3 linked regions of the Oryctolagus cuniculus genome follow. The main gene of each other region encodes a partner of the protein of the gene in region 2 in a complex. Links are inferred from orthologs where the notes say so. Each region holds a gene or a part of one and is shown on either strand. Other genes may lie near its edges.

Region 1 (4,069 bases), on a different chromosome or scaffold from region 2:
GGAAGATAGCTCGCTCGCTCTCCCCCTCTCCCCGCTCTGTGTGACTCTTTCAAATAAATAAAATCTTTAAAAAATACTATAAAAAGTTAGTGAAATGTATTTTTGTGGTTTCTGTGTATTTACAAGAGAAATCTGCCACCCACACACAGGTGGAGGAGCTGCAAACCCTCCTAGTGTGGCTGCTCTTCTGGAAGGGAGAAAGTGAAACAATGTTTCAACTGCGGGGAGCAGTTTTTCTGACAGTAATTCAGGAAGGGGTCTGGGAATTCACAGTGCAAGGGGGTTTCATGAGAACTGAGTAGCTGTTTTATTTGTAAATCTAGTGGAAGGGCCTTCTGGGAGCTTTTCTGTAGGACAGGAAATATTAACTAGGAAAAAAGTATTTCTCGTTCACAGTGCAAAGGGTTATGAGCTTTCCTGAAACCACGCACTCTGTCCCCCACAGCAGACTTCAGCGTGTAGCACACTGACACGGGGACATCTCCATGAGACACAGGGCCCAAGATGACCATCGGACTCCCAGACCTGAGTTTTCCTCCAGGTCCGAAGCCCACGTGCGCCCCAACTCCCAGGTAGCAGCCTCTTGGGGTGAGGAGGCAGCGCACAGCTCCGGCGCTTGCCAGCTTCCCTTCATCCCCGCCCGCTGCCTGCTCGCCGCTCACCGCAGCAGCGGAAGGGGAACCGGGTCCCTGCTGTCAGGATTCCCGACCAGGAGTGACAAATGAGAACAGGTGGCCACCACCTTCATGCCCCACCCTGCGCCAAGAACACTGGGATTTTCTTAACTGAAGTCGCCAAACACAAGGTTTCTTAAGCCGTTTTTATTACACTCAAGGTATAAGACAAGTACAAAATAATCTTGTAAGTAGGATATTGTATCAGTGAATAAAAAAGGAGAAATCACGCAGTATGAAGAGCTTTGCAAACGCCTAAGATGCAGACGCTGCGACGTAACACACAGCCTGAAAGGGAGAGGCTGCTTTTCCCCTCGTTCAGAAATGCTGGATTTCCCGAAACAAAACAGGGCCAAAATAAAATAAAATAAAATAGGGTGCTCTAAGTATGCGTAACCAAGAGAGGAAGAAAGATAAAGCGGTCTTAACACTACTATTAGCATACCAGACGCCACTGCTCCTGTTTGACAGCCTTTGCCAACACATGCCTACTCCCTTCCCTTTCAGGAACAGCTTCCTCTAAGGAACTCTAGTGCTGCAAACCCCTTAAATAATTTCCTTACGTTACAACCTACAGAGAAAGGAACACTGGTCAGTCTTGGAGAACAGTGGAAGCCATTCCTCACATGCACTTCTCGTCGAAGATCGGCTGGCTGGCAGGGTGAGGTCTCTGCTGTGGAACCTTCCCTCCTATTCTATGAAACGCCCCTTCCGTCCGCAGCCCCCCGCCCCCGCCCTGGCACTCATCCATCCCACCCCCAAAAGTGCAATTCCCGGTGACTTTTTTCTGCGGCCTCTGAACGCCATAGGAAGTGGATGACAGCAAACTCCGTTCTCGGTTTCTTGAAGCCTTCACTGGGTCAAAACGGTGCTCGGAACACCCTGAAAAGGGTGTCTGCTGGGGGAGGCAGTGGGGATGGGGAGGGGGCCTGGGGAATGAGGGAGGGAACACCTCCTTCCTCCCAGCCAGCCTGAGGGGCAGGTGCACGCCGGGCCTGGCTCCGCAGCTCTCCCAGGAACGCGGTACTGCTTCCACAGCGCCGGCACACAGGCCGCTGCGAGCCGGGCCCAGTCCACCCGCCACAGCAGCTCTGCTCCGAAACACCAGCCAGCTCAGGGGTCTTACCAGAACAATCTGCAGCCCCCAAGGTCGCTGAGACCTCATTAGTTCAGTTCAAAGTAAATGCTTAAGATTTGGCATAGAGTGAACAACTATTGGCACGGTGCTCTCCAGTTTCCTGTATAAATAGTATTCACAGGGCCACGGGCCGGGTCAGCCGATCTGCACCACGTTTATGTCGGCAATGAGCCCCTCTCTTCCCTTGGAGCACTGGAGGGAGAGCTGCTGCACCCGGCTCTCCAGGGCCTGGCCCTCCAGGGACACGCTGCTCGGGCCCTTCCGGCAGCCGCCGCCGCCGCCGCCGCCGCTGCTGAGACCCCGGCTGTGGCTGGCTTTGTCACTTGTCTTATTTTCTGCCCCTTCCGCCCTGTCTCCTGGGGAGATAGAGAGAGCTCAAGTGAGTAGATGGGCAGGGGCCAGGAGGCCCACTCAACCCGCGGGGCTCCAGGGGCTGCCCACTGCACAGAAAGGGCGGCTCCCACACTCGAGCCCTGGAGAGCACAGGGCCTGGGCTCTGGCAGGAGCCCCCTGGGGAGCACGGCAAAGGCGCACCCGGGGCCCAGGCGCCTGGCACTGGGGGGACCCTGAGACCCAGCCGAGGGGTGGAAGGGTACAGAGTGGCCTGCCACAGCGCGAGGCTCCATGGACAGGGCAAGGCTGCAACTCACCTCGTTCCACCTCGCACTCGGGGGAGGAGGCCCCGCTGCACTCACTGCGGGGGCCCAGCACTGGGAACATCAGCCCGAACTCCGACAGGGACACGGGGCTGGGCAGGTCCAGGCTGCCGGGCCTCGCCACCGCAGGGAACGGCTCGGCTGTCTCCGACGGGCTCGTGGGTCCGGAGCTGAAGCTGGACACCGACTGCGTTTCTGAGTCATCTTCAGACACGAAGTTGCTGCAGGTGTCGTCTTCAAAGGCCTCCGAGGCCACTGGGGCGAGGGGACAGTCAGTCACACGGGTGCTGACGGTCACCTGCCCCTTCGACTTCCCCTCCCAGGGTGCCCTGCTTCAGACACAGCGCAGGGAACACACTGCGGCCCTGCCAAGCCTCTCCGCAGCCGGAGCCCTGACATGAGGTCCTCGCGATACCCGTAACCCTGCCCTCCACCTGGAAGAGCAATCAGCGGCAGAGCGGCCCTCTTGTCCACCTGTGTCCCTGAGACACACAGCTGCACAGGAAGGGGTCTGGCCCCGCCCACGCCAGGCTGGCCAGCTCCCCTCTGGCCCTACAGGAAAAGCAAGAGCCACTGGAAGACTTGGCCCTGCGGAGCCTGCAGCTGGGGGTCTTTGTTAGCCCCCGCTAACTCCTGAGCTCCGCAAACATGCACTCAGTGCCTACCTGGGTCCCTGTTTGCTCCCTCCGCAGGGCTCTGGAGCTCCGCCTGCCCTGGGGACCAGGACCATCGAGGCCCAGAGGCAGGGCCCTGGCCTCGTCTCCAAGTCTCCTGGAGCCCGCACACAGCCCATGTGTTACTAGGTCTTTCCTCCTCCCTCGCCTTTAGAAACAGCCTGGCAGCTCCCACAGAGAATTACTCCAAATGACAAGGGCTTCAGGAACGTTGGGGACACAAAACAGGCTCAGACCTCAATCCAAACCCCAACTCCACACCTTGCTGAGTGGTAACCTAACTTCTCTGGGCTCCAGCTTTCTCTCCGTGGAGGATTAATGAGCGGTAATTCACACACAGTCGCTGCTTAGATGATGGTTCCCTTTTCCCTGAGAACTAAAGAAGTCCTGGGGAAGCGCCCATGGGCCTTGTAGCACAGAAAAGAGGGGTGCAGGCCAGTGCCGGAGGGGTCTCCTGATTCACCATGAGAAGCCAGGTCAGATCTGTTGGGTCCCTGCCTGCCACGCGGGAGACCAGTCTGGGATGACTTCCAGACTCACGGGACCCCAGCATCCTGGGAAGCCGTAGCCTGCTGAGCTCTGAGACCCTCCGTGCCGGCCACAGAGGATGGGGACCTGGGAGCGCACCGCACGGCCCGACTCACCAGAGACGGCGTCCGGCTCTGGTTTGCTCCCCGCCAGGCCCTCCGCAGCCACGCTGCTGCCCTCCGCGCCAACGCCACAGCCGCGGGGCCCCATGGTGCTGGAGCGCCGCCGCTCGTGGATCTCGTCGGAGATCATCTCCAGGTTCTTCAGGGCCGTCTTGTACTCGCCTTTTGCCAGGCTCAGCTTGGCCTGCAGCTCGTCCACCGCCGCCTTCAGCAGCTGCACAGGAAGGGAGAGGCTCGGTGAGTGAGGGCGCCCCCTGCTGACCTCGAGCTGCACAGG
Region 2 (5,206 bases):
TAAACATGTATATATATCTATATATCAAATACATTGCTAAATACCATAAAAGCAGAATACATGTACTAATTATCCATTATTTAACAAAAATTTCCACCTCTTTACCCCCCTGTAGTTTTATACCTGATCCTGCAAACTAATTTACTGGACTAGAACTCGTATTTATTCCATCAAACGCAGTACATCAGCTCTAAAAATTATCATCTGAAGGAGAAACCACTTATTTTCATCCTGGTTTTCATCAACCTGGATGTCACAGTCCAACCTCACCAAGTCTTTCTAAAATCAAAAGCATTCAGAAGGCTGAAGTCTAAGACAAGTTTTTCCTGATTCAGCAGAATTCAAGTTGCTCAACCAAAAGTTGTGAAAGAAAAACTACTAAGAGGCAGGACAACTACCTTCACTGGGATTGTTTCCACTGACAATCAGCTGACGCCTAATTACTACTGACCTCCACCGAGAGGAAAGAAAGGGCGGTGAGCAAGACTGCACACCCAGATGCTTTCAGAACAAGTGACTTAGACTGGACCGGTGTCTGATACCGTGTTTGTCAACAGGAACTACAGCCGCTGCCTACTTCATTTATGTGTCCCTCGGGATCTTACCCATGTTGTGCGTAAATACTTAAAGAACTGCAGTTTTTAAAATAAAAAGTCAAGCTTCAAAAAATAAAACCAATCCCCCCAACCAAAAGCTTCACTGCTGAGCTTGAGTGAAGATTAATGTGCAAGAACAAATACGTAATTTAGAATAACTGTCCTACGCTCCCCACATTAGATTCCCATTTAGACCACGCCGTCCCACGCTGATCCAAACAACCCTTCATTTCCAACTGGTTAGAGTTACAAATTAACTCCACTTCCTTCAGCTATTAAGTCTGCTAGGTAAGACTTCTTTGAAGTAGAGACAGCAATGGTTCATCTCAGTGACCAAATCTCTGTAGAAGGAAACCATTTTAAAGTAAAATTATTCTTGCCTAGCTTTAAAATGAGAATTGTATAAATAAAGAGACTGGCTAAATAATCAAGCATTGAAGTTAAGAAAAAAAAAAGGTGACTCATATCCTGTAAGAGCTTCGAAGGCATGGAAATCCTCCTCAGCAGAATTTTTAAACACCATATTTTAAACAGCACAACAAGATGAAGCCCTAACCCATGAACATAAAATAGTTGAAGTTCCTACTTCTATGCTTCTTTAATAATATGTAAATGCTCTTCCGTTTAGAAATAAAGTTCAAAAAACGGACAAGATCCACAGTAACTTCCTTCAATGCACTGAGCCCTCACAGGAGCTAAAGTCGTAACTGCCCGGCAGGCTTGATCAGCCAGTCCCGGAGTTTGCTTCAGAGCTGGGGCTCCAAACACTTAACTTTCCCAAGGTCGTAAACCCAAGAGCAGAGTGGAATGTGAACTCAGGTGTCTGTGGTTCCAAAACCCTGTGCTCTCAATGTTACAAGGATGGTCTAATTCCTGAAACCAGGATGGCTAATATTCTGGGGTTGTTTTTTTCCCCAACATTCCAGTTCCAAACCAATCAGGAGAAAAACCCTGAGAGTCTACCTTGCTCTAAAGTACTTCAAAGGTAGCTAACTGCCCATGACATTGTAAAGGATTTGAAAAACAAACAAAAACCTGCCTTTAATGACTAAACCCAAAAGGCTCCAGGGACTGAAGTAACTTCCCATCAATTCCGACGCCTTCTGCAAAAAGTACACAAACTAATGCAGGTCTCCTTTTCGTCTCTGTAAAGTGAACCGAGTGCCTTTTTCACTGTAATGACTTTCCAACACGGAGGTCGTAGACATCGAAGGTACCCAGCCTATACTCACCCTATACATAGAATATTCCACCTCGGAGGACTAAGGTAAGAGCATATTATCACCGAGATTTGCAAAAGTATTGGTAAAGCAAAGCAATGGTTCCTGCTTCCTTCGGTCAATCATTCTAAGCAACCAATGGCAAAGTCAGAAACAGTCACCGTGCTCACCACTCTTTCAACTCCGCCTCCACGGTAAAGCTTTAATAGCAATGGCTTCTTCCTCCCCGTAATGATCTTTGTTCAGCTCACTACTGATGGCTGCCCTCACTCAGGAGGGAGGACTACCAGAGCCGAGCGCAGCCACTGAACAAAAAGCATTTACTGGACTCGTCTCTTACGGAGAACTGAGCCCTTCACCTTCGCTGATTAAAAAACAAAAACTCTGGATTCTCCCCGACTCCTCTCGCCTCTCCCCACGCTCCAATTACGTACTGTCCAAGGGCACACACGTTCCCCTCTCTGATCACCACGGTTTAAATGGACCCGAAGAGCACACAAGTCCCCTCTCCCTCCTTTTGGGAAAGGTAGGCGGCCCACTAGGGCTCTTCCCTTCCTGTTGGATCCTCCCAGGGTTGCAGCAGGAAGCAACCAGTCCACAGTGATAAAGCAGGCTAGTATTTGTGCAGCGCGCAACCTTTCCTGCTCAGGAACTGGGCCTTCAGGTCTGGCCGGGATAACAGCCACCACCCATCCGCAACCCCTTCCCGCGAGCCGCGTACCGAGTGATCCCGGGTTGGCTGCAGCTGGGTCGGAAGAGGAGTTAAAAAAAAAAAAAAAAAAGGCTAGGTGGGAAGTCCCCGCCGGTCGGGCCACTGCGACAAGTGCACGCAGGGGTGATGGACAAGCCCCCCGGCCCTCGGCACAGAGTTCCCAACTCGGGGGTGGGCGGCGGCCGGCCCGTGAAGGCTGCGCGGCGGGTGGGGTGGGGTGGGGGCCCGAGCCGGGGAGCGGGGGGCGGCCGCCCGAGGGGAGGGGCGACGAGAAAGGCTCGCGCGGGGGAAGGGGACACGCAGGGAAAAGCCCCGCGGTGGGAGCCTGAGCCGAAGGGCAGGCCCAGGGAGCGGCCCGGGGCCTGTCACCAAGGCCGGGAGGGGATGGAGCCGGCCCGGGCTGATGCTGCGAGGGAGAGGTCGCGGGCGGGAGGGGCGCGGGGCCGCGGTGGGGGAGGACACGCGCGCACACACGCGCGCACACACGCACACAGCGAGGGGCGCCGAGGCCTGGCGGGAGGCGGCCGTGGGGACGCCGGTGCGAGCGGCCGTGGGAAGCTCCGTGCGGGGACGGCCGGACGACCCGCAAGGAAAGGAAGGGCTGAGGCAGGCCCATTTTGGGGCTGGGGCAGCCCGCACGCGGGTCCCCCGGGAGTGTCCCGAGCCCCCCGAGGGCGGACAGGGCCGGGGGCCACGGCCTCACCTTTGAAGAGGTAGTCGTACTCGTCGTCGCGGGTGCCCATGGCGCGGCCGAGAGGCGAAGGGGCGGGAGCAGCGGCGGCTTCGGTGGGACCAGGGGGCGTCGCTGCAGGGGTAACCCGAGCGCGGAGCCTCAGCTGCCGGACCGGCTGGAGAGCCCCGCCCTGCCGCTGCGCCACTTCCGGCAGGCCCCAGCCCCTGAGGGAAGTACTTCCGGGGAGGTGGCGTCCCGCCCCCAGCCGGGGACGGGCGGTGCGTCGGCGCCCGCTGTAGCGTCAGTCCTCAAGTCTCACCCTCCGAAAGAGTTTCAGAGGACGAAACCCTGAGTCCCGGCTTCCCAGCTGGTGCCAGTCGTAGTGGCCTCTTGTTCATTTCTGGCACCGCCCAGCCGGGCAGCGGGGCGCGGGAGCGCGTGGAACCCGCTTCTGATGGTTGGGTGTGCGATGGGGGCGGGGTTCTCTAAGGATTAGAGGGCCGGAGCCGGCAGCACACGCGTGGCGGTTCCATGGTGTAATGGTTAGCACTCTGGACTCTGAATCCAGCGATCCGAGTTCAAATCTCGGTGGAACCTGCTCAGCTTGCTTTTTCTTTTTCCTCCCCGAAGTCACATTTTTATTTACTTCACTTATTTGCATTTCAACAAATGTGACATACTGGGTCTTGCCTTTGGTAGGGTGAGAATTAGAAAAAGTAAAATATAATATTCGCCTACGAAGACCTCTGCCCCCTGGGGTGCTCGTCCTTGGCCTCTTCGCCCTCTATAGCGTGGACCCTCTGCCTCCAGCTTTGATTCAGAAGCTTCAGTGAAACTGAATTCCTCTTGCTGGAATTGCCCGTCCTCAGCCTCAGTCAGTACAGGATCCCCTCACCCGCTCCTCCCTGGAAATGTGTCGGATGCTCTCCATACATTGCCACCGTCCTCATCAACAGTCATCAGGAAAGAGTCCCATCTGGTGGCCGCCTACGTCCTCACCGGACAGGCAGAGCACGGGCTGCCCCTTGTCCTTTGACCCGAGTGATCCGCAGAGCTTCCTGGTATTTGGAGAATTCTGTGAATGCCAAAGAAAAGCCTCACAGACAAAGCCTCCCCCGCCCCTTAGTATCACAGTCCCACCGCCTGTGTGCAAACTCAGTTTACACTCTGGTCCAAAAGTGTCTGTGAACTATGACCCCACCCCCTATTGCCACCCCCACTCCCTGCTCCCCCACAGAATGCCCACCGCTGACACCTTGAGTTTCGCCCAGTGAGACCAGCATTCAAAAGTTTGTGATCATTGGTTAGGGCAGGAATAAAAATAAAATCGGGGGCCAGTCTTGTGGCGGGGCTAAGCCGCTGCCTGGGGCACCAGCATCCCATGTCTGAGTGCCAGTTGTAGTCCTGACTGCTCTGCCTCCGATCCAGCTCCCTGCTGTGAACGTAGGAAATCAGCAGGAGACAGCCCAAGAGCATGGGCTCCTGCCACCCTCATGAGCGACCCCAATAGCATGATGGAAGGTCTGTGTGTGTGTCTTCCTGTCATTTTGACTTTCAAATAAATAAAATATTTTTTTGGCGGCAGCTTTACCTGCTGCACCACAGCGCTGGCCCCATAAAATCTTTTTTTTTAGAAAAAACTAATACAGTGCTCTTTTCCATGCTTTCTCTGCCCAAATAAAGCGATAGGTGGTTTATCTAAGGTCCCGGATGCTACCTTGCACAGGTGGTGAGCGTACAAGCTGGGGGAGATGCAAGATTCTAGTATTACTCAAGAGGCAGCTATTTGCAGAACACCTATTCTGAACTGTTACATATTCATCAGACAGCCCTGGTGCCAGCCGGATTACGTAGACAAGAGCGGCCCAAGGAAGGCGGCTTAGTTCATTTCCTGTTGCCACAGCAGAGTACCTGCAACTGGCTAATTTAACAAGAAAAGATTTGGCTCGTGGTTTGGGAGGCTGGGAAGCCCAAGGGAGCGGTAGCAGCTTCCGGCAGGGCCTTG
Region 3 (4,664 bases), on a different chromosome or scaffold from region 2:
TTGACTTTTTCAGGAAGCTCATAAGATGGTGAGGGAAGCGAATGTCAAGCAAGCAACAGCAGAGAAACAGCTGAAAGAAGCTCAAGGAAAAGTAAGTTCTCACTGCTGTTACAGTATAGAAGTTACGGAAATTAGTGATGATTATTAGTATCTAAAAAACGATTGGATTTTGTTCGGATTGTGAAAGTTGTTTTAGATTTGGAAATTGCGGAAAAATATAAAAAAATAGCTACCATGGGGAAATAAATAGTTTATATCGGTGTTCATTTATATTAGAACCAAATGGTTTAAAACACTGTATCACATGTGTCATTAAAAGAATTATATGACCACATTTTAATGTTAATATTTATTTTCTCACTGAGAAAAAGAACCTACGTGGTACTAGATTTTACTGTTTTAGGAGTAAACTAGAACCAATCATAAGATAGGATAATTTTATTTGACATTGTGAGTACTAGCTGAATCTGAATCATAGGAAAATATCAGAAAACTTGGTTTTATCTTCTTAGTCCACAGGAAGTACAAATTAAATTCCATCTTTGAAAGTGTTTGGACCAAATTGCTAACATGTAGGGGCATCTGTCACAAAACACGTAGTGCTGACGAGGATGCTGGTTTCTTTTCAAGATTGATGTACTTCAAGCTGAAGTAGCTGCACTGAAGACGCTTGTGTTGTCCAGTTCTCCAACCTCGCCTACACAGGAGCCTCTGCCAGGTGGAAAGACACCGTTTAAAAAGGGGCATCAGAGGAATAAAAGTACAAGCAGTGCCATGAGTGGCAGTCATCAGGACCTCAGTGTGATACAGCCAATTGTAAAAGACTGCAAAGAGGTAACTCGTCAAGGACTGTCCCCTCTGGCTTTCCTCATGCTTTCAGTTCTCAGCACTGAGTGTCGGTTGTGGTTTTTACTGGCAAAGGTTTGAGTACAAAATATGTGCTAGTAAGAGGGGGGAGGCTTTATCTAGAGCTGGCTGCTTTCAGGGGTTCGTCAGTTCCATTCTCCACCTGATTGACTGTGGAAAACCTGCTGGAAACTTGGTAGGCTTCTTCATCTCACTATTTCATCTAGGGAGCACACTGTCATGGCTTGTATGAAGGAGAGTGGGTGGTGTCAGCGATCTGCCTCATCCAGATTTGCTGCTGGAGTTTCTCCGTAACTCTTCCCTGAGACTGCACTCTCTCCACTTTTTTTTTTTTTTTTTTTGACAGGCAGAGTGGACAGTGAGAGAGAGAGACAGAGAGAAAGGTCTTCCTTTGCCGTTGGTTCACCCTCCAATGGCCGCTGCAGCCGGCGCACCGCGCTGATCCGATGGCAGGAGCCAGGAGCCAGGTACTTATCCTGGTCTCCCATGGGGTGCAGGGCCCAAGCACCTGGGCCATCCTCCACTGCACTCCCTGGCCACAGCAGAGAGCTGGCCTGGAAGAGGGGCAGCCGGGACAATCTGGCGCCCCGACCGGGACTAGAACCCGGGGTGCCGGCGCCGCTAGGCGGAGGATTAGCCTAGTGAGCCGCGGCGCCGGCCTTTTTTTTTTTTTTTTTTTTTTAAAGACTTATTTGAAAATGAGAATAACAGAGAAAAGAGAAGAGGCAGAGAGAGAGAGAGAGAGAGAAAGGTCTTCCATTTGCTGGTTCACTCCCCAATTGGCTACAGTGGCCGGAGCTGTGCCAATCCAAAAGTCAGGAGCCAGGAGCATCTTCCAGGTCTCCCATGCGTGTGCAGGGCCCCAAGGACTTGGGCCATCTTCCACAGCTTTCCCAGGCCGCAGCAGAAAGCTGGATTGGAAGTGGAGCAGCTGGGACTCAAACCAGCGCCCATAAGGGGTGCTGGTACTGCAGGCGGTGGCTTTACCCGCTACACCACATTGCCAGCCCCTCTCCACTTTTTTAAAACTATCTTCTAGACTACAGCAATAAGCACCCTCCCTACTCCGCCATCTTGGAATTCCTTACCCTTAACTTTGATTCAAGGAATTTGAATTGGGAGGAAAAAAGCTCACATTGATATCTTAAAAGGAAATCTATAGGAAAGCTTGGATATGCTCAGCCTTCTTTTGCCTTTGTGTAGACTGCTTGCACATCTGGTTAAGCGTCCGAGAGGCCGCCACGGCTGTTGTCAGTGGGGCGTTTATAGCACACCCAGCACTGTGGACCTGGTTGGTGTGGCGCTGTGTGAGGACCAGTGAGACTGCTCTGTGCTGGGGTGGTTGGCGTGTCTGGTGCAGGTGCTGATCTGGGCTGAGGGAGCCTGAGGGTCTGTAGGGAAGAGGACTTGGGGAAGATGTACTGTAGAGGGGCAGCCGGGGATGGCCAGCCACAGGTGTGGCTAGGAAGGCAGTGCCGGCAGGCGCCTCTGTGGATAGTTCAGGTGGTAGTTAACTTGATGTACCGAACTATTTAAATAAATGCTGAGTTTTAAGATAGTTTAGTAGGTTGTGTGTGTGCTTTTTTGTCTAGTTGCCTACACAGCAAGCATCTTGGCATTTTTAAACTAAGTGCCTCCAGGTTAATAGAACAATTAGTGTCAGCTTATGACCTCAAATCAGGTCTCACTCTTACTTTATTTAGCTTGACTCCAAAGTACTTGTTCATTAATTTCAGAAAATACTTATCATCCTTTTTTATATTCAGAACAGTACGTACCTGTGTCTTCAAAGGAGCTCCAACAGGGTAATGGCAGCATCAGTGGACACCGTCATGGATACTATGTGGATACTACTAGGCCCATCAGACAGTTTTCTTAAAAGTCAGTTTTCTTATAGAAAAGTTGGTACTGTGTATTATAGATAATTAAGAATGGTCCAGTTCATTATGTTAAATAAGGAGCATTTCTTTTTTAGTAATATTTGTATTATGTTTTGGTTTTACAAAATGGTTTTTTGTTTGCACTTTTTAAAACTTTTTTATGTGTTTCCTTTTGGCTTGTTTAGGCTGATCTGTCTCTGTATAATGAATTCAGGTCTTGGAAGGATGAGCCAACAATGGACAGAACATGTCCTTTCTTAGACAAAATCTATCAGGAAGATATCTTTCCGTGTTTGACATTTTCGAAAAGTGAGGTAACTTTTTTTTTTCCATGTTAATGGGAACACATTAGATTTGATTCTGTACGTTTTATGAAGTCCTGTTCCATATTTTAATATATCTGATATAAGTAGATTATCATGAAGTGTCATGCTCAAGCATTTTCTCCGTCCTGTATTAGATCCTAATGTCTTGGCATTTGATTACTGAATATCTTTCCTTATTTGAGCAGAGCATCATTCATACTGAGACTTGCATTGTGTTCAAGAGAAGGATGAAATGTCTATGGGAGTAGGGCTTATATTTTTTGATTCGTAGTCCAAGATTCAGCATAAGGAAGTTCTCTGTACATTCTGCTTAAGGCATTTGTTGAGTTTATCTGTACATGATGAAATCACACTTCTTTTCTTTTCTTCTTCTTTAAAGCATGAAAAATAATGCCCTCTTTGCTTAAGTCCCAAGGGTGTTAACAGGATAAAATGAAGTATGTACTAGGTTGATAGAAAATTTTTTAAAATTTTATACAGATGTAAAGATTAAATTTGTTCTTGCATGTGGAAGGTTTATCCACAAATATCCTGTCAGTATTGAAGAAATTTAATCCTGAGAGTCTTAGTTACGTCTTTCAAGGATTTAATTATAACATTAATTTGTAGGAAGAAGTTCAGATTAACTGTGTAACACTTTGGATAGGAATCTGTGTTGTTGTTTGTGGCCGTGTGCCTGGATTCAGGTGGGCCGTTCAGTGTTCGTAATCTTGGCAGGCTTGAGAAGTGTGCCTTTTTCATTTGTTGTTTATTGGTTGTGCCCTTTCCATCTGGGATCTAATATCTGATAATTCAGTGAATTACTTCGTGCACATATGTGCAAGTTCAGAAAGTAATAGCCATAACCAGCATATACTGCTATGTGATAAATGACCAACACACAAAAAAATTGCATGTGTTCAGTGGCATAAGGCATTAGAATATTCATTTTGAAGTGGCATTAACAGTGGGTATTTAGTTGTAGGTAGGGAGGACACAGAGACTGGGATTAATAACTTTAATCCTCCTCCAGGTCATGAGAAAAGTTATTTCACCATAACTGAATTGCCTTTCATAACAGTGCTTGAATTATAAGAGAAATCAAATTAAGATTATGCGATGTCTTTCTTACTTGTTGGCTAAGGCCAAGCTAGTGGAACTTGGGGGAAGAATCATGTATAAGATTAGATGACTGTGGAGTACAACGTTGGTATTTTCCTGCAAGCATAAAGTCTAATACTTTTCACTTTGTTGAAGCTGGCTTCAGCTGTTCTGGAGGCCGTGGAAAACAATACCCTGAGCATTGAACCAGTGGGGCTGCAGCCGATTCGATTTGTGAAAGCTTCTGCAGTTGAATGTGGAGGACCAAAGTAGGTTTTTACACCTGTGACTCACGGGAGCTACTGAGTTTTTGAAGTCTTATGTGTTGGAGTTGCTTGGAGTTGGGAGGCCAGAAGACGTAGCATTGAATCCTGGCTCAAATAAAAATATACTGGGTATGCCCAGTTTACAAGTGACTTTAAAAATGAGGTCACTTAAGAAGCATTGTTTTTATTATTTTAGAAATTGATACTTATAACCACTTTAGTAGAGCTCTTTCAAAATTAGACAA

The links. The genes of interacting proteins can lie anywhere in the genome.
Region 1: the proteins of RAB11A (region 2) and SH3BP5 are in contact, whole or in part, in a crystal structure (PDB 6IXV), measured with the Homo sapiens proteins. The link is inferred for Oryctolagus cuniculus from reciprocal best matches to the Homo sapiens genes RAB11A and SH3BP5. Residues at the interface, in NP_004654.1 of Homo sapiens: Tyr8, Asp9, Tyr10, Leu11, Lys13, Glu35, Phe36, Asn37, Leu38, Glu39, Ser40, Ser42, Thr43, Ile44, Phe48, Lys58, Gln63, Trp65, Tyr73, Ile76, Ala79, Arg82, Gly83; in NP_004835.2 of Homo sapiens: Asp42, Ile45, Gln46, Leu49, Glu50, Asn53, Thr56, Ile59, Asn60, Glu63, Thr64, Glu67, Lys240, Tyr243, Leu247, Leu250, Glu251, Ile253, Ser254, Asp255, Ile257, His258, Arg261.
Region 3: the proteins of RAB11A (region 2) and RAB3IP are in contact, whole or in part, in a crystal structure (PDB 4UJ5), measured with the Homo sapiens proteins. The link is inferred for Oryctolagus cuniculus from reciprocal best matches to the Homo sapiens genes RAB11A and RAB3IP. Residues at the interface, in NP_004654.1 of Homo sapiens: Phe36, Leu38, Glu39, Asp127, Leu128, Arg129, His130, Leu131, Arg132, Ala133, Pro135, Thr136, Leu156; in NP_783322.1 of Homo sapiens: Asn367, Thr368, Leu369, Ser370, Ile371, Glu372, Pro373, Asp412, Arg424, Thr428, Cys431, Asn432, Thr435, Tyr439, Leu444, Val445, Lys446, Gln447, Gln448.

The regions. Positions count from the first base shown.
Region 1 is NC_091435.1:150,921,632-150,925,700, forward strand, and holds the end of SH3BP5 (SH3 domain-binding protein 5), read right to left. Parts: intron 4,007-4,069; coding exon 3,787-4,006; intron 2,724-3,786; coding exon 2,463-2,723; intron 2,169-2,462; coding exon 1,948-2,168; 3' UTR 807-1,947; downstream 1-806. UniProt on the Homo sapiens protein: Functions as a guanine nucleotide exchange factor (GEF) with specificity for RAB11A and RAB25. Inhibits the auto- and transphosphorylation activity of BTK. Plays a negative regulatory role in BTK-related cytoplasmic signaling in B-cells.
Region 2 is NC_091443.1:88,885,266-88,890,471, reverse strand, and holds the start of RAB11A (ras-related protein Rab-11A), read right to left. Parts: upstream 3,272-5,206; coding exon 3,232-3,271; intron 1-3,231. UniProt on the Homo sapiens protein: The small GTPases Rab are key regulators of intracellular membrane trafficking, from the formation of transport vesicles to their fusion with membranes.
Region 3 is NC_091442.1:72,360,305-72,364,968, forward strand, and holds part of RAB3IP (rab-3A-interacting protein), read left to right. Parts: exon of another isoform or gene 1-13; coding exon 14-91; intron 92-630; coding exon 631-834; intron 835-2,932; coding exon 2,933-3,061; intron 3,062-4,309; coding exon 4,310-4,422; intron 4,423-4,664. UniProt on the Homo sapiens protein: Guanine nucleotide exchange factor (GEF) which may activate RAB8A and RAB8B. Promotes the exchange of GDP to GTP, converting inactive GDP-bound Rab proteins into their active GTP-bound form.